Linked DNA regions of Oryctolagus cuniculus. The protein of the gene in region 2 purifies or fractionates together with the protein of the main gene of each other region. This does not show direct contact. Links are inferred from orthologs where the notes say so. Each region holds a gene or a part of one and is shown on either strand. Other genes may lie near its edges. The genes, in order: CRADD and PIDD1.

Evidence for each region.
Region 1: the proteins of PIDD1 (region 2) and CRADD purify together in Homo sapiens (affinity purification with western blotting; 8 studies listed by BioGRID and IntAct, with this or other methods). This does not show direct contact. The link is inferred for Oryctolagus cuniculus from reciprocal best matches to the Homo sapiens genes PIDD1 and CRADD.

What each region holds. Positions count from the first base shown.
Region 1 is NC_091442.1:96,629,892-96,638,987, forward strand, and holds part of CRADD (death domain-containing protein CRADD), read left to right. Parts: intron 1-3,271; exon of another isoform or gene 3,272-3,275; 5' UTR 3,276-3,491; intron 3,492-4,642; 5' UTR 4,643-4,648; coding exon 4,649-4,946; intron 4,947-9,096. UniProt on the Homo sapiens protein: Adapter protein that associates with PIDD1 and the caspase CASP2 to form the PIDDosome, a complex that activates CASP2 and triggers apoptosis.
Region 2 is NC_091432.1:330,145-339,340, forward strand, and holds the start of PIDD1 (p53-induced death domain-containing protein 1), read right to left. Parts: upstream 6,563-9,196; 5' UTR 6,204-6,562; intron 3,989-6,203; exon of another isoform or gene 3,754-3,988; intron 3,573-3,753; 5' UTR 3,495-3,572; coding exon 3,197-3,494; intron 2,976-3,196; exon of another isoform or gene 2,862-2,975; coding exon 2,448-2,861; intron 2,223-2,447; coding exon 2,013-2,222; intron 1,932-2,012; coding exon 1,877-1,931; intron 1,780-1,876; coding exon 1,578-1,779; intron 1,499-1,577; coding exon 1,373-1,498; intron 1,269-1,372; coding exon 1,089-1,268; intron 1,012-1,088; coding exon 864-1,011; intron 777-863; coding exon 262-776; intron 186-261; coding exon 62-185; intron 1-61. Other genes in the region: RPLP2 (large ribosomal subunit protein P2), read left to right, coding at 7,625-7,747, 7,840-7,888, 8,437-8,535, 8,608-8,684. UniProt on the Homo sapiens protein: Component of the DNA damage/stress response pathway that functions downstream of p53/TP53 and can either promote cell survival or apoptosis.

The DNA.
Region 1 (9,096 bases), on a different chromosome or scaffold from region 2:
CATATGGGATGCTAGTGCTGTAGACAGCAGCTTAACCCACTGCAGCACAGCACCAGCCCCCAAACCACACTTTGATATACCGCTCCAATATACTGTGTGTTTATATATGATATACTGTGTGTATATCATATGTATATACCAGCCCCCAAACCATACTTTGATATACTGCTCCAAAGTATCACTGTGTGTTTAGGTGGGGTGGTGGCCACTTCTTCCACTGGTTAATGACAGGTAGCTAGACAGTCTGAGAGTCACCCTGGTCACTTAGTAGGCAGTATGGACACATCTAACTTTGCCACAGGAAGAGGAATTTAATGGTGGTGGTCTTTGTCTATGGATAAGTCAGAACCTTAAAGGCCAGCCACTCAGGTTATTTACCATAAGGATGCCTGCCGATAAGCTCACTTTTTGTGTGCTGTTCTTGCCCTCTTTGCTTCACTTCTGTGACCCTCAAGGGTCTTGCTCTTGGTTCTCCACCTGTTCCTGGACGTCATAATCAAGGCTCACCCTTGAGTTCCCAGATCTAAAGTCTTTCCAGATAGGGTAAGTGCTCAAGATGTGTATTCAACGGGTGTTAACTGTGCTATTTGTTTCAACTTTTCTGTTTAAAGATTGTCAAAGCTTTAAAGTTGGAAAAAAATATATTTTGTTTTCCTTGCCAAAAAGTAAGTAATCCTCCGCTATTGGCAGTGTTGCCTGAGGGCTACACTTCACCTGGATGAAGACAGAGAATGCTGCTGCTACTTGTCCAAGCAGGGAAAAGGAAAGAACACCAATTTTAGAGTGCATTTGTCCTTTTTTTGTTACTATAACAAAATACCTAAAGAAAAAAGGTTTATTTAGCTCACAGTTCTGGAGATTCAAAGGCATGACATTGGCATCAGTATCAGCACAGGTCTGGTGATGCTTCATGGTAGATGACATCACATGGGCAAGGGCGTGTGTGGGAGAAAGAAATCACATTTCAAAAACAGGAAGTTAAAGAGTTGGGTGGTTTTATAACAAACTTCTCTTTAAAGAACAAATAGGATCCTCAAACTATCATCATCCTTTGACAGCAAGGCCCCCCAATCACCCAAAGACCTCCCACTAGCCTCATCTTTTTTGTTTTTTAAAGATTTATTTATTTGAAAGTCAGAGTTACACAGAAAGAGAAGGAGAGGCAGATAGAGAGAGAGGTCTTCCATCTGCTGGTTCACTCCCCAATTGGCTGCAACAGCCAGAGCTGCGTGGGTCTGAAGCCAGGAGCCAGGAACTTCCTCCGGACCTCCCACATGGGTGCAGGGGCCCAAGGACTTGGGTCATCTTCTACTGCTTTCCCAGGCCACAGCAGAGAGCTGGATCAGAAGTGGAGCAGCCAGGACTTGAACTGGCACCCATATGGGATGCCAGCACTGCAGTAGCCTCTTCTTAAAGGCCCCAGCAGCTCTCACATCACCATACTGTGGTCCAAGCCTACAATATGTGAAACCCCAGGGGGAACCAACTGTATCCAAACCAAACCGTAGAGCAAAAGAGGAAGTGGACAAGAGTACAGAGTACCTGAAACTCGACTATCAGGAGTGGGAAGTGGCAACAGGACTATTTACCAATAATATTTTGGCTGTCACCAGAACAACAGAATCTTTATGGGACTGTGTTATATACTGGAAAGAGCATGAAATCAGAATCTTGATTAGAATTCAGGTTTTGCTTTGTATTAACTCAGACTTTGGCTAAGACAATTGGCCATTCTGATTCCACAGTCTCTACACATGTAAAATAATAACAATAATATTAGGCGCATATATAAAAACACTTTACTGGTATAGTAAAATTATATACTAGCATAGTAACGCTGTAAACTGGACATAATTATCAGGTTTTCAGAAGGAAGGTTCAGAATTCCCCTCCACTGATTTTCTTATAAGAATATATTCATCTTCCTTCAGAGGTGCTGGTTGTGAATTCCTTTGGAGAAATTATATTTGAAAGATTTTTTTTCTGTTACTGCCAATCCATTTTGAGCAGGTGCATGACTTTCTGCACATACTTGCATTCTCCGGTTGATGTAAAAATGAATCAATGAATACTTTATTGACCATATGCCTTGTTTCACAAAAGAATTTGAGGAAAGACTCAATTTGCTACTCTTCCATCTCTGTATTGGGTCAGGTATTTGGTCTTGCTTCCCAAAGTAAAGATGTGGTAGACACAGTAGAATCAGCTTCATCTGATGTCCCTCCCTCTAGTTGGTGATTTCAAGACTCTATTGGTGAGTGTGGCCAGAAGTCAGTTTGGCAGTGTTGTGTAGGGGTCACCCTTTGGTGATCAGCCCTTTTAACAGCTTACCCCGTGATTCCAAATGTCCCCAATGCCCCATGACAAACCCCTTTCTCTCTGGAGTAGCCTGGAAGCCCAGGGGCACTGACTTGTAAACTCTGCAGGCAGGAATACTGTGGACGTAGAGATGATCCTGCACTCAGGTGGAAACAGCTGGTAAACAAATGAGTAAGCAAAGGTTTTGGTAAAACAGTGATGTGCTTGAAGAATCAGAATAAAATGGATTGAGTATGGCTAAAAGCTAATTGCAGACCTCTTGCTTCTGTACATATTAGCTTTGTTTGGTAACGGCTAAGGGTGGATCTTGTGAAACTATGTGGGCCCAAATTCCCAGGAACTAGGTTGGCCAAAATGTGTCCTTCACTGTTATTTTACAACCATATCTTGGATCTGTTATTGGGTTTGTTGTTGTTAACTGTTACCTTACAACCATATTCTGGTTTTCCTCTTTATTGTTCACTGCATACCAGGGGTCCGGTTGAAATTGTGAGCCCTAGTGGACAGAATACTATAAAAAGCTATGTAACCCACTGTTGGGGGCTGCCCTCTGGTAAGGAGTGTGGGTTCCTATGGGTGGACGGTCCTGCTCGGTTACCTGCCTTTCATTTGCTTCTCATTTTCAATAAAATTCATGTGTGACCGTCACTAGTTTTTGTAACATTTTGTTTTAGCTTATGAGTGGATGTAACATGCTCTAGATAAAAATAAACAGGTAAACGGAATGGGAGCGCAAGAGAGGAACACAGGTGCACTGCCATTTTAAATAACAGTGGTCAGAAAAGGCTTTGCTCTAGGGTAACTTTTGAACTGCCTGTCTAGTATATCAGTTGTGTGCAGGGCGTGGTGGAGTTACTCTATCAAAAAGCAACAATATCTTTACTCCTTCGCTTAGGTAGCCCTCCAAGTAATACCACAATTTTTCACCTTCAGGCGGTTTTATTGTTTTCCCACAGCAAACATGGCGGACAAAGCGTCAACCTGACCCCTGGACCGCCTATAAAAATGGCGACAGTACTTCCACTTCCTGTGTTTGCCCTCAACAAAGATGGCGACGTCACTTCCTGTTTCGGGCTTCCGCCTTCAACAAAGATGGTGCTTATGGTAGAGGTTCCCTGACAGTCTGGATTCCGGTTGTAGTTTTTTTTTTTTTTAGAAACGTGGTTGCAGACGTAAGTAAGAGGAATCCATCTTTTCTCGAAAGCCCCGCGCTGTGGCGTTCTGACCCGAGCCCTGTGTGGCCCTCTCGCCCCCCGCTAGCTTGGTTACCGGGCTTCAGAACCGGGCCAGGGTTGGGGTAGGGGCGGCGGTGCTGGGGGTCCGCTGTCCCCTCAGGGGGCTCTGACGAGAGTTCCCAGCACTCCCTGTTTGGCGGGTGAAGTTGCTTTGAAAATCTCTGGCGGTTCTTCCTGTTTGTAATCCGTCAAGGGATTCAGCCGCCAAGGCAGGGAATTAAAGCGAAGTTCCGAAGGGATGTTCTCAGCCAAACGTGGACACCCCCTCCTCCACCTGCCACGGCCCAGCCCTCGCAGAGGGCGGCGAGGGGAGCCGGGTGTCGCGCGTCTGAATCCCCTCCGTGCCCCTTAACCCTCCTGTGCTTGCAGCAGTCCCACAGCTTACTGGGCGGCGGTGTGGGCTTTTTGTTTTAAGAAAAAAAAAAAAAAAAGAAAGAAACCATTAAATGCCCCATGCCGATGTCCCATACCCACCGCAGAGCTGTGACAGTGGTCCTGAATTCTTAGAAGGATTACGCTCTGCGTGTATGTAGTGTGGTCGTGTGGTCGACTGCGCACAAACAGTTTAGAAGTACTTTTCTTGAAGGTGGTGATGGTGTGGAGGGTTTTTCTCTTGGAAAAAATCCTTCAATGCATTCTGGCCCCCCACTGCCATTGCTGAGGTCTGTTAGTTTCTCTAGCAGTGGTGGCTGGTATCTCCGATGAAGTCCATGTGGAAATAAAACCATGTTTCTACTCCAGGGCGTTAAAACGGAATGTTCCTCTATAATCCTCAGATAAAAATTGCTTCTTAAGCAAAGTGTCAGACCCACTGCTGTCCACATCCTTATTGAACAAGGAATTGAACTTTGACCACACTGTGTGAAAAGCAAAATAAATAAATAAATAAATACATAAAATAAAATAAAAATTCATTTTTAGTGTCATTTGGAAACTTGGAAATGAACTTAGCTGGGCTTACCAATCGTGTGTGAAATACCATAGCCTGGCCCCGTGCTAGGGCCCGCGATGTATCTGGTGCATTGACATTATCTTGAGGGGCGCTTAGGCATTTCTGTGATTTGAGCCAGGATTTTGTGTCTTCTCAGGGAGCAATGGAGGCCAGAGACAAACAGGTGCTCCGCTCACATCGCCTGGAGCTGGGTGCAGAGGTTCTGGTGGAGGGACTGGTTCTTCAGTACCTGTACCAGGAAGGCATCTTGACAGAAAACCACGTTCAAGAAATCCAGGCTCAGGCCACGGGCCTGCGGAAGACAATGCTGCTGCTGGATATCCTGCCGTCCAGGGGTCCCAAAGCTTTTGATGCATTCCTGGATTCCCTGAAGGAGTTCCCCTGGGTGAGAGAGAAGCTGCAGAAGGCAAGGGAAGAAGCTGCAACAGAGCTGCCTGCAGGTAGGCCTCCACAGGTCTCTTCTCGCCAGCTCCTGAAAGGTTGGAACTGTGCCCTCTAGACTGAAGTTGGAGTTTTAGGCTGGGCAGAGGTCGATGATGCGTGCAAGGGGTGGGGGATGGCAGTCAGGAGTTTGGACTGAAGGGACACGGATGGGACAGGATGTTGGGGGGACAGGATGAGGAGGTCCAGGGAAGGAAGGAAGAAGGAACCATGCCTGAGAGGTTGAGGAGGGCACTCAGAGAGTACGCTGAGAAACGCTTCCAGGGAGACTTGGCAAGCCACTCAGGAGGCATGTTCTCATCAGAGAGCCAGGTCACAGCCCAGCCCTTGGCATCGAGAGCCATTTGGAAAGTGCAGATGGGAAAGCGGGCTTTGGCCTACTGATAACTGGTTTGTTGGGCGCCAGAGCTGGCAGCTGGGAAAGGTCACAGTGGTGGAGGCGGTGCGGTCTCTAGGAAGGCAAGCTCCGCACCTGTCCCCCCTCGCCCTGCAAGGCCCAAGGCGCGATTGTGAAGATGCGCTTAGTTGGTTTCTAAAGGCTGTCAATTTAAAGTGTTCTTTTAAGTTTGACTTTGTTGAGGCACCTGAAGGATTTCCTTTTGTAGGGATGGTCATCTAGGGGAGGGTTTCGTTTTGATTTTAAGGAGAATTGGAAGCTGTGGAAAAAAAGAAGCCATTCTGGTGCTATTAGCCTATCTTATAGCAGGTAGAAGATGTTATACGAAGCACTTGTTCCCTCCTAACATTTCCAGGGTTTATACTTTTTCCGAGACTGAGGGGCAGAGGACTGAAGTGGCAAAAAAAATTTTAAAATATTTTTTTCTAAGTCCCCAGACTTTGTTGTTGCTGTTTTAAAAATGCCAGAACAACTAGTTAAAAAATTCTAGTAATAAAAGACCATTTATTTTTTTTTTCTCCATGGACCCTGTATTTTAAATGATTTTTCAGACCACATGTATGAAGTACTCCTAATGAATTCCATTTTTGTTAATGATGTGTGTCTGAGTATCTGACATGTGATGACCAGTTAAGAAAACCTGATGAAATCACAAAATATTTTCATCCTTAGCTTGGATAAATTCCAGGTAAATTTATGCTTAGACTTTTTTGAAATTGAAAATAGCTCACCTTGGAGGACAACTGGAACTCTCAGCCTGGACTGTCATTAAGCGCTCTACATGGCTGAACAAAACCAAGCCAACAAATCTAAGACATTTTTACTACTTTATTGAAAAAAATAAAACAGAATTGGGGAGAAACTAAAACATTTTTCAATCCTAGCCAGTAAGATGCTTGCGCCCCACATCACAGTTCTTGGGCTCAATTTCTGGCTTTGGCTGCTGATTCCAGCTTCTTTCTAAAGCACGCCCTGGGAGACAGCAGTGATGGCCCAAGTAATTGGGTTCCAGCCTCCCATGTGGGAGACTGGGATTGAGGTCCTGGCTTTTGCAGGCATTTAGGGAGTATGAACTAGCAGATGGGAGCTTTAGCTTTCCGTCTTTATGCTTCTTAAATTTTATAAAAACAAATTATTGGTGTTTTCCTGGTATTTGTCTTAGAGGTTCCCTGGCGGCACCTAGTTGGAAATAAGAAGGGCGAGTTGAAAGGTTTTCACTAGCAATTTAACTTAATTGCATGGTCATTTTGAGTGATGTAAATAGTACTGCTCTATGGCATTCACAGAGGTGTGACCCCATTTCCATTTCCTTGGATTCCTTCGGAGAGTAAGGTTACCAAATGGTGAAAGTTACAAAGAAGCTAAGGGAAAAATAGGTTTTTAAAAAGCAAACAGGATGAGACAGTATGCATAGGAAGAAATTGACTGTATCTGTGTAGAAGTTTAGAAAAATAAGGTTTTCCAGATTTTTAAAATTCTGTCGAATGAAAGATAAGGTTAATCAATAATTCTTAAGTGTTTTAGTTCTTATTAACACAGCTACAGAAAAAAATATTCTGAAGCGGTTTGATTTACATGTCTGTATACCTTCTGCAATGATTATTACATAAACTCATTTTTAAAATAGTTATTTTTGCAATGACTATTTTAAATAACAAAATATGAGTAATATATGCCGGTACTGGCGCAGTGAGCACCTTTTTGCACATCACTCAGGTTTAGAAAAATAACAATTGCCTTTGAGAACCCCTGGATGCTCCTTCCCAGTCCTCTCCTTCTAATCCATGACTCACTGATAAGCTTGAATTTGGAGTTTATCATTTATTCTCTTTACTTTGTGGTTTTTCATCTCATAAAAAGCACTTAAAAAAATCCATGTTACTGAAAATCCAGTATACCATAGATCCTAGTGGTATATAGATTTATCTATCTATCTATCTATCTATCTATAATTTATGTGTATGGGAAATATGGAAGAAATAATATACACATTTAAAAAAGTTTATTTATTTATTTGAAATGCAGAGTTTCAAAAAGGTAGATTTTCCATCCTCTGGTTCATTTCTCAGATGATAGCACCTACCAGGGCTGGGCCAGACTGATGCCAGGAGCCTGGAAGCCCATCTGAGTCTCTCACATGGGTGTGAGGGCCGCAAGTCCTTGGGCCATCTTCTGTTGTTTTTCCAAGTGCATTAGCAGGGAGCTGGATTAAAAGTGGAGCAGCCAGAACTGGAACCTGCACTCAAATGGGATGCCTTTGTCTCAGCCTGCTGTACCTCAGTGCTGGCCCCAAAACATGCATATTTTAAAGGAGTTGTTAGTTAACAACCTTCTCTTTTTTAAGACCTTCAAATTTTTTTGAAGTGTTTAAAGCAGTTAATTTGATGACAGTATTCTAATTCTAAAATTAAATTAGGACTTAATTAACTGGAAACCTAGTTTTTGCTTTTTTTAATCTTGAAAGAGTATCAGAGTTGAAAAGCCTTCCAATTTTATATCCCTATAAACAAACAAACTCATAGGCCTACTTCCTGGGACCCCGAGTGCTTCTCCAATGTGGTAGTAATTGTTGTAAGCTTTAATTTAAATGTTTCTAAAGGCAACTTTGAGTTTTGAGGAACTGGTCTGTAGGAAAATGGAGTGCTTATTTGTGTATGTATGTACATAACCTCTACTACCAACAGCTTATTTTGATTGTAATTGTTAATATATTGTGTGGATTTGGTGTTCTTGTCTTGGGCGGCCTTGAAGACAAAGGGGAAGGAATGGCCTTCTCCTTAGCCATGAGGTATATTCCTCTTCAAAAATGAATGATTTTGTTTTCGTATTCTGGTCTTGCAGATTCTTGATTTTCCCCTAATTGTTTGTTGTTGTGTTTTACTTGTAAATTCTGAGCTGCTTCGGAGTCTTTGTTTGGGTAATCCTAGTCAAGTACTTTTTATTTTTGTGTAGGATGTAATTTTTTAGTAAAGAATCGAATTGTCTTTTTCTTTAGTCTTCTAAATGTCACTCACAGCAAATCCCAAAACATTAAAACAATCAACCACCCTAAAGCTTTGGATTCTCTTTGAATCTACCTAGGTAACTGGTCTCCTAATCTTTGTTAAAAGAAAAAAAAAGTCTAGATGTTAATGGATAGCTGGTTTTGTGTTTTTCTCACCTTATAAGGACTCTGCCTTTCTAAAGAGTTTTGACCATAAATGACTTAATCCACAATGGCACCGTGGCAGGAACACTTCGCAGTGTGTCCCTTTGTGGCCAAGGTCACAGAGTAGACATTAGATCAGCAAGGAATCCTCTCTGGGCTCCTGGGTCATGCTAGGTAATGAGGACAGCGCTGTTTGTGGGTAAAGGTAGCCTGCGCCTGTCTGCACTGACAGTCTCACTCTGGTGCCCCAGCTAACCTGGATCTGGGCTGCCCCAGCCTCCCCAAGTGATGGGACTTAGCTCAAGTCATGGTGGGAGAGGCTCCTGGGCCAGGGGACTCCTGTTTCCCTGTGTTGGCCCTGACTGTGTGACTGGCTGTCTGCCATGGTCCTTTGTGAACAATCTGCCTGATAATCCCGCCTTGCACCCTAGACTTCCTCTAGGCTGGGGAGATTTTTTTTGGTTTTGGTGTTTCTGTCCTCCCTTAGCTAGATTTCTGCTTTGTGTATTCCTAGGCACTGGCTGGAGTGAGGAACAGATCTCTGGGAAAGCAGCTCGGTGCCTCCTGCATTGGCATCAGGTGCATCTCAACCCTTGAGCCTGCT
Region 2 (9,196 bases):
CAGGGGGCTCAGCAGGGGGCGCACCCAGGGACCCGCCCCTCCCCGGGGGCACAGAGCCTACCAGCGTCCACCTCGATGCCCCGCTCGAAGGCTGCAAAGAACTTCTCGCCCTCGAACACCTCCACAGTGTCGGAGGGCTCGGGGCCGCGGTATCGCTCCAGCAGCCGCTGCAGGGTGGCGTCCACCTGCGGGCACCGGCGCGCTGCAGCCCGAGGCCTTGCCACGCCCGCCACCTGCTGCCCGCCCCCTCCACCGCCCCACCTTGTTGCGGGGCAGGCACTGCAGCAGGACCTGCTCGGGGTCCCGGCGCCTCTGCAGTGCGATGAGGTTCACGCGGTGCAGCCGCAGCCGCTCCCAGGCCTTGCGGGCCAGGTCCCCCACGCGGGCCTTGGTGGTGTACCAGAGCCAGTACCTGGGGGGCGGGTGAGCTGGGGGCTGGGCAGACGGGGGCGGGGCTGAAGGGGCTGGGGGCGCTGACCAGGAGCAGTGACCAGGGGCTGGGGGGCTGAACAGGAGGAGTGACCAGGGGCTGGGGGGGGCTGACCAGGAGCAGTGACCTGGGGCTGGGGGGCTGACCAGGAGGAGTGACCAGGGGCTGGGCACACAGGGATGGGGCTGAGGGCGGGGGGGGGGCACTGACCAGGAGAAGTGTGTGACCTGGAAGCGTGCATACAGGTGGGTGACCTCCAGCGCCACCGCAGCCGTGATGTCATCCCACGTGGCCTCAGGAGGAGCCCGGTGCAGCAGGTGCAGGCGGGAACGGTCCAGGTCGAGGCCTGGACAGGACGGGACAGCAGGCTGAGGCCCCGCTGCAGGGCTGCCCTGCAGGCCACCGGCCCAGGGGCCACACAGCCGCCTCTCACCTGTGAGGCCAGGGGGCAAGGGCAGCTGCACGGTGACCGGCCGCAGGAAGGACGTGGGGCCGCTCTGCGAGAGGCGCAGTAGGGGGCTCACGGCGGCCCCAGGCTCCCCAAGCAGGGCTCGCAGCTCCCGGCCGGCCATGCGCAGCACCTGGGGCAGACAGGCCGCCTGAGTGTCCACCGTGCGCGGAGGCGCCCCAGCCGCCCATGGCCCTATGCTGGCCGTACCTGCATGGACACGTGACGAGGCTCCTGGGTGGCCCCTGGGGGGAAGGTGACCTTGACCCCAGGGTGGCCAGAGGAGCACAGCAGGGTCCCCTCTGGCGGCACCAGGCAGGCATCGGACACAGGGCGCAGAACCACGAGGAACCACGAGAAGTGGGGCACCTGGCAGCGGGCCCAGAGCCGCTGGGACAGGGGAGGGGTCAGAGGAGAGGCTGAGTCAGGCCGGGGGTCCAGGCAAACAGCGGGCAGGGGTGGACAGCACCAGGCCAGGCCTGGGCAGCTCTCACTTTGGGTGCCTCTTCCTCCAGGAAGGTCTCCAGGTCGCTCCAGCTGCCGTCACTCCGGGTCCTGACCACCACCTCACGGCAAAGCTGGGTCCGTGGGGGGACAACAAGCAGCCACAGGCTCACATCCTGCCAGGCAGGGGGCCGTGTGAGGGCCAGAGCCGGGCCTGGGGGCTCCACGCCCACCCCCCACCTGCCTTGGCCGTGCCTGCCGGAAGGTCAGCCCGTGGGGCCACAGCTCCAGGACACTGCTGAGCAGGGAGTCGTGAGGGCCCAGCGAGACGAGGCCCGGCTGCGGCAGCCATAGCTGGTAGTGGATGGTGACGGGGGCGGTGGTGGCCCCGGCCGGGAACAGCAGGCGGACACCATGGGCCAGGGTCACGGAGCAGCCCCACGGGGTGACGGGAAAGCTGAGGGTGGAGGAGCGTCGGTCACACACACAGGGCCCCCGTGGACGCCAGAACCCCCAGGGCACGTCCTGGCCGCTCTTCCAGCCCTGCCCGGTACCTGCCCGCGTCCGAGGTCAGGCGCAGCCGAGGCATCTCCGGATCCATGGGGGTCCCTGCGGGAGGGGCGGACAGATCCTGGGGGGTGCCACCGCCCGCGTCTCCCCTGTGGTGCCCCTCCCTGGCAACAGGCCTACCTGGGGGACTCGGGGAGGCTGCTGGGGCCTCGCCCAGGGGGTTCCCCTGCAGGCGCACGAAGGGTGCGTCCAGGAGCTCAGGGGGCACGGCCCGGAGCTGGTTGTCCCTCAGGTCCAGCTGGGCGAGCAGCGGGAGGCCGGCCAGGTCAGCGGGCACGGAGGTGAGGCGGTTGCTGTGCAGGACCAGGAGCCGCAGGCACCGGAGGCGGGCTGCAGGCAGGCGGGGCCGGCTTAGCGCCGGGAGGGGGGGCCTGCGGGGGCCACCCTCGCGGACACCGCCCCTTGGCAGACTCAGTGGGCCTCATGGAGGCCTTGAAGGCTGGGCTGAGGGCAGGCTGCGGGTGCAGGGGCCCCTACAGAAGCGGAGAGGGGCCAGAGCCCATGTGAGGCTGCAGGGTGCTGCCCCAGGAGCCCAGGGCCTCCGCTGCCACTCACCGAGGGAGGCCGGGACGCTCTGCAGCGCGTTCGAGGCCAGGTTGAGCTCAGAGAGGCGGCTTAGGCCCCCGATGGCGGCGGGCAGGGAGTCCAGCAGGTTCTCAGACAGGTCGAGGCGCTGCAGGGTGGACAGCGCCCCCAGCGTCGCGGGCAGCGCCCGGAGCCGGTTGTGCGTCACAGTGAGGAAGGTGAGGGCAGGGAGGGCTCCCAGGGCCTCGGGCAGCTCCGAGAGGCGGTTATGGGACAGGAGGAGAGCGTCCAGGCTGCGCATGTGTGGGACGCAGGCCGGCAGCGTCCGCAGGCTGTTGAAGCTCAGGTCCAGGTGGGCCAGGCGGCCCAGGCCACTCAGGCTGGCTGGCAGCGTGGTCAGGGTGCCCGGGAGGCAGGCACCCAGCATGTCCCGGCGTTGGCCTCCTGGGACGGGGAGGGGCAGACGTGACCTTCAGAGCCAGGGCCCTGGCTGCCAGCTCGGCCCTGCTGGCCCCCGCACCTGGCGCTGCATGGGGACAGGCAGACGCGGGCTCGGTGCTGCAGGCGGAGGGCGCAGGGATGGAGCCATGGCTCAGCCCCAGGCAGCGCCGCCCACGTCCTTCCCCAGGAGCGGCGTCCACACTGGATCTGCTCAGGGGGAGCCAGGCTCCACAGAGCGCAGGGGACGGCGGACCAGGGCAGCTGATGGGTGGGGGCGGGCCTGAGGCAGGGCAGCAGGGAGGGGTGGGGAGAGGGTCAGACGCCGCGGCCGGGCTCACCTTTGAGGACCAGGGAGCGGAGGCGGGGCAGGCGTGCAGGCACCCGGGCCAGGGCGGCCTCCAGCAGCCCGGGGTCTTCGTGGGTGCTCAGCCGCAGGAACTCCACCTGCAGCAGCTGCGTCGGCTGCTGGGCGCACAGGTGCAGCAGTCGCTGGCAGCCCGCGGGGTACAGGTCCAAGTTCAGCTGCTTCCCGGCCAGGAGAGGAGCCGCCCCGGGCCCGGCACCCACCGCCGCCGCTGCTGCAGCATCTCCCGTGGCAGCTGCCTCGGGCTCCAGCCCCTCCGCCACTGTGGCCATCGTCACCCCCCGGCCGTCCCTGGGGGCCAGGCATGTCCCAGCTCGCAGAGCAGGCCTGCTCAGGCAGGCCCTGGGAAGCTGCGAGGCAGGGAGAGGAGTGAGTGTGATGGGGGCTGGGTCTCTCCCCCTCCCCCTCAGCCTGGGCTCTGCAGGGTCACTGTTGGGGGCTGTGGTCCAGCGTCTGAGGGGCACCGAGCGTGGACAGCGCTGCCTGGGGTGGGGAGCCCAGTCTGCCCCAGTCCTGGGGTTAAGAGCCCACCTTCGACCCTCTCGCGCATCGGCTTGGACCGCGGTGCCTAGGACCCGCACCTACCGCGCGGCTCAGCCCCGAGAGCCCACGCTCCGCCGCCCCCGCCGCCAGGGAAGGAGCGCGGTCCCTCGCGTCGGGGGCAGCTGCACACCCCGGCCGGGTCGCGGCGCCGCGCACCCGGGTCCAGGCGCCCGCCCGGCTTCCCGCTTCCCGCTTCCCGCCCGCGCGTTTCCGGGCGGGCAGGCGGGGACTCTGGGCCCCGCCCCTCCAAACACGCCCCCCGCCCACCGCACGCGGGGCTGTTGTCACCCAGCAGAACAGGTGCCAGGTGCTCCCAGCCAGGCCTGTGCGCCCTCCCCGCGCCGCCCCTCCCCTGCTCGTCCCTGCCCGCCGCGAGGTGGACCCGCGGCTCCCGCCAGGCCTCCCTCCTAGTGCCCGCCTAGTGGCCGTTTGAAGGGGGGATCCTTCATAGGCCCAATCAGGGGGGTACTTCTGAGCCTCATGGAGTGTATTTGGGGTGGGCACTCGGTGTACCCTTGGGAGCCTACAGCCGAGAGGTTAGGGTCCTGGCTCTGTGCACCTGGGGGGCTGCAGAGATGCCTGAAGCACTCGGCCCCTGCCCCCCACGGGGGGGGGCCCACTGAGCTCCAGGCTCCTAGTTTGGCTTGGCCCAGCCCTGGCTGTTTAGGAGTTTGCGGAGTGAACCTGTCTCTGGAACATCTCAGTCTCTTTCAAATAAAATGAAAACAGAAATTTAAAAATAAAACCACCACTCTGGGAAAAAAAAAAAGAGAGAGAGAGAGAGAAAAGGAGTGAATGTGATAGGTGCTAAGGAAGGAACCTTGGACACGTTCCCCTGGAAGAGGGACCCCACCCACAGGAAGCCCCCACAGACACCACAGCCCCAGCTCTGTTCCCCGGCCCAGCTGCACCCCAGGGAGACAGCGGGTGTCCCCGCCCCCAGGAGACCTGGATGGAGCTGCAGGCTCCTGGCTTTGGCCTGGCCCTGCCCTGGCTGTTCTGAGCTGGGGACTGACCCAGTTCATGGATCTCTTTCTGCCTTTTATTTTTAAAAAAATATTTATTTATTTGAAATTCAGAGTTACACAGAGAGAGGAGAAAGAGAGAAGGAGAGGAGAGAGAGGGGGAGAGAGAGAGAGAGAGAGAGAGAGAGAGAGAGAGAGAGAGAGAGGTCTTCCATCTGCTGGTTCACTCCCCAGATGGCTGCAACGGCTGGAGCTGCGCCGATCCGAAGTCAGGAGCTTCTCCCGGGTCTCCCATGCGCGTGCAGGGGCCCAAGGACCTGGGCCATCTTCCACTGCTTTCCCAGGCCACAGCAGAGAGCTGGATTGGAAGTGGAGCAGCCGGGACTGGAACTGGCGCCCGTATGGGCCACCTATTTTTTTTTTTTCTTTTACAGGCAGAGTGGACAGTGAGAGAGAGAGAGACAGAGAGAAAGGTCTTCCTTTTGCCATCGGTTCACCCTCCAATGGCCGCCGCGGCCGGTGCACTGCGGCCCGTGCACCGCGCTGATCCGAAGGCAGGAGCCAGGTACTTCTCCTGGTCTCCCATGGGGTGCAAGGCCCAAGCACTTGGGCCATCCTCCACTGCACTCCCTGGCCACAGCAGAGAGCTGGCCTGGAAGAGGAGCAACCGGGACAGAATCCGGCGCCCCGACCAGGACTAGAACCCGGTGTGCAAGGTGGAGGATTTGCCTATTGAGCTGCGGCGCCGGCCCCACCTATTTTTGAGGTGGCAGCCTCACTGCTCTGCCACAGCGCCCGCCCCTCTGTCTGCCTTTCAAATCTATTAAATAGACGAGCAGGGCAGGCACCCTGTGGCAGCAGGAGCGCCCTCCAGGAGGCCTGGTTGGGTCCTGGCTGCTCCACCTCCCATGCAGCCCCCCCCCCGGGTGCTCCGGGCGCCCCGCACAGGGGAGACTCAGAGTTCCTGGATCCCGGCTGCAGCCCGGCCTCCCCGTGGCAGCCATGTGGGGAATGGACCAGCGGGTGGAAGACCTGGCTGTCTCCCTTCGCTCTGCTTTCCACATAAATACGTATTTAAAACGACACACAGAGACCCAGGGGGCTGGCGCGGTGCAACAACCCTGGCACCCCATGCGCACTGGTTCCTGGCTGCTCCACTTCCGATCCAGCTCTGCTGACGCCCTGGGAGAGCACCTGGGCCCCCGCACCCACGTGGGAGACCCGGATGGAACTCCAGGCCCCTGGCTTCAGCCTGGCCCAGCCCCAGCAGTTGTGGCCATTTGAGGAGTGAACCAGCAGATGAAAGACGTCTGTCTCCCTCGCTCTGTAGCTCTGCTGTGAGTGTATGGGGGTCGCTAAGGCTGGGGGTGCAGCCCAGGGACCAGGCGGGGCTGTGAGGCCACAGCAGTGACGCGGCCTCCGCGAACTGCACGGTTCAGAAAGGTGGCGATCACCAAAAACCCAGCAACGCACCCATCTCTGCGTGAAGCATCGGACAGCTGCTTCTGGGGCTGCACCGGAGTCCGCCCTCGCCAGGACTTGGCCTCCCACTTCCCGAGTGCCCAGGGTCCTCCTGCGTTAGAGGGGCGGCCTGCGGCCCAAGCTCACACACGGCTCCTGACGCCCTGCGCGGGGGCTCGGGGGGGGGGCGCCCTCACACCGGGCCTGACCCCACGCGCGGGGGCTCGGGGCGCGCTCACACACCGGGCCTGACCCCACGCGCGGGGGCTCGGGGTGCGCTCACACACCGGGTTCTGATCTCACGCTTGGGGGCTCGGGGGTGGGGCGCGCTCACACACGGCTCCTGACCCCACGCGCGGGGACTCGGGGTGCGCTCACAATCGGGCCTGACCCCACGCGCGGGGGCTCGGGGGGGGGCGCGCTCACACACCGGGCCTGACCCCACGCGCGGGGGCTCGGGGGGGGGCGCGCTCACACACGGCTCCTGACCCCACGCTTGGGGGCTCGGGGTGCGCTCACACACTGGGTCCTGACCCACGCGCGGGGACTTGCGCTCCGGTTGGAGCCCATCAGGACGCGCGCCGGGCTGGCTCCCTGTCCCCTCTCAGCTCAGGGACGCTTCCCCAGGCCGCACAAGACCCGTCTTTCTCTACTACCCCAGCAAGGGTGGGGCCCCCATGACCCGGGTCGCGGGCCCGAGCGGGTGACTGAGCCACGCGTGCCGGGACGGACGCGCGGCCAGCGCGGGCGAGAACACGGACGCCATCGGCCGGTCACGCAGACCTCGTGTCGCGCGCGGGGCCCAGGCGAGGCGGCTGGGCGCGCAGGCTCGCCGCGCCCACGTGCGGCCGCTCCAGGCCGGCAGGGGCCGCGACTTCCGGTAGCGGTGCATCATGGGACTCGTGGTTCGCGGCACGAGATGCGCACGCGCGTGGCGGCCGCGCTGCATGCTGGGCTCTGTAGGCGCCGCGTGGCATGCTGGGAGCGCGAGGCGCGGAAGGCAGACGAAGTCCCGGTCAGCCTTCTTCGCCCGCCGCCCTGCCCATATCCAGGGACCTTCGGCCCTACGGTATCCGGGAAGCCAGTCCGGGAACAATCTTTCGCTTTTGCCACGGCGACCGCCTGGGTAGGCAGCGAACGATGGCGCCTCTCCTGCCGTCATTGGCTGCGCGCCGCGGACGTCATCCGGAGGCGCCTCGCATTCCGGCGCAGAGGCTTCTGGGTAGCGGTTTACCCCCGCCCACTGCGCCGGCGCCTTCCTTTCCGCCCCGGACGCCGCCGAGGTCGCACGCGTGAGGCCCGTCCGCCGCCGCCGCCGCGTGAGTGGAGCGCCGGGCCTCGGGAGCGGGCGCGGGGTCGGCGGGGGTGCGGGGCTGGGGCCTCCCCGGGCTGCGCGCGGGGGTCGCCGCGGTAACGCCGCCGCCGCCCGCAGCATGCGCTACGTGGCCTCCTACCTGCTGGCCGCCCTCGGGGGCAACTCCTCGCCCAGCGCCAAAGACATCAAGAAGATCCTGGACAGCGTGGGCATCGAGGCGGATGACGACCGGCTGAACAAGGTGGGGGCGCGGGAGGGCTGGGCCGGTCACGCCGCCGCCGAGCGTGCGGGCCCCCGCGCCCGTGCTGAGCGCCCCGCGCGTGTCCCCGCCAGGTCATCAGCGAGCTGAACGGGAAGAACATCGAGGACGTGATCGCGCAGGGTGAGCGGGGGGCGCGGGCTGCGGGCGGGGGTCCATCCTAATCCCTGCCGGCCGGCTCGTGGCCCGCCAGGGTTCGCTTGTGGACCAGAGCAGGGCGGAGCGGCGCGGGCGCCGGCGTCGGGGTCGGCGTCGGGGCGGTCCCGGGCGGGCGCTCCTACAGCTCCGCTCCCGCGCGGTGCGGGCAGTCCCGTTGGGGGCGCTCCTACGGCCTCGCTCCCGTGCGCGGTGCGGGCAGTCCCGTTGGGGGCGCTCCTACGGCCCCGCTCCCGTGCGCGGGGCGGGCAGTCCCGTTGGGGGCGCTCCTACGGCCCCGCTCCCGCGCGCGGTGCGGGCAGTCCCGTTGGGGGCGCTCCTACGGCCCCGCTCGCGCGCGGTGCGGGCAGTCCCGTTGGGGGCGCTCCTACGGCTCTGCTGCGCGTGGCGCGCGGTGCTGAGACTTGGTAATTTAAAAGCCGAGTTTGCAGACGGGGTCTTGGGGCCGCGGGATCCCCCCCCAAGGGCTGTGCCGGCGAGGGCCCTCCAGGCATCGCTCCCCCCGCCTCCCCCAGGTATCGGCAAGCTGGCCAGTGTGCCCGCCGGCACGGCTGTGGCCGTCTCTGCCGCCCCGGGCTCCGCGGCCCCTGCTGCCGGCTCGGCGCCCGCCGCAGGTGAGTGGGCGGGGAGCCGGGGCGTGGGCTGGGGTCTCCGCGGGCGGCCGCTCACTGCCTCTGTCCCTGCAGCCGAGGAGAAGAAGGAGGAGAAGAAGGAGGAGTCCGAGGAGTCGGACGACGACATGGGATTCGGCCTGTTCGACTAGCCCCCCCCCCCCCCAATAAAGCCTTTGTACCGGAGCCTCTGAGTCTCTCTGTGCGGGGAGGGCTGCGGGGCGCCCCCTGAGGGCCGCGGACCCGAGATTTCTCTGCTGTTTTCTGCTACGCTGTGCGTGAAAGGCTGAGGGGGGCGGAGCCTCCACCGCCGGTCACTCCCCGGACGGCCGTGAGGACGAGCTGGGCCAGCCCACGGCCAGCGCCCCGAGCTGCGTCCACGTCTCCCAGGGGTGCGGGGGCCCAGGAGGCCTTTGACGCGTTAGCAGGGCGCCGTGGAGCAGCTGCCCGTGGGGGCCGTGCCTCTGACCGGCTGTGCGCAGCGGAGGAGTCGCTGCGCCCGGGCTCGGCTGGGTGGGGGCGCCCTGACTGCAGGGGCTCGGGTTCCAGCGCAGCCCCTCCGGAAAGCCCCTTAGTGGAGTAGGCTGGGGGGCCAGGGGCTGTGGGGGCAGCGGTGACCCGAGCCTCCAGGGAGCGCGGCGCCCAGCCCAGGCCAGGATTCCAG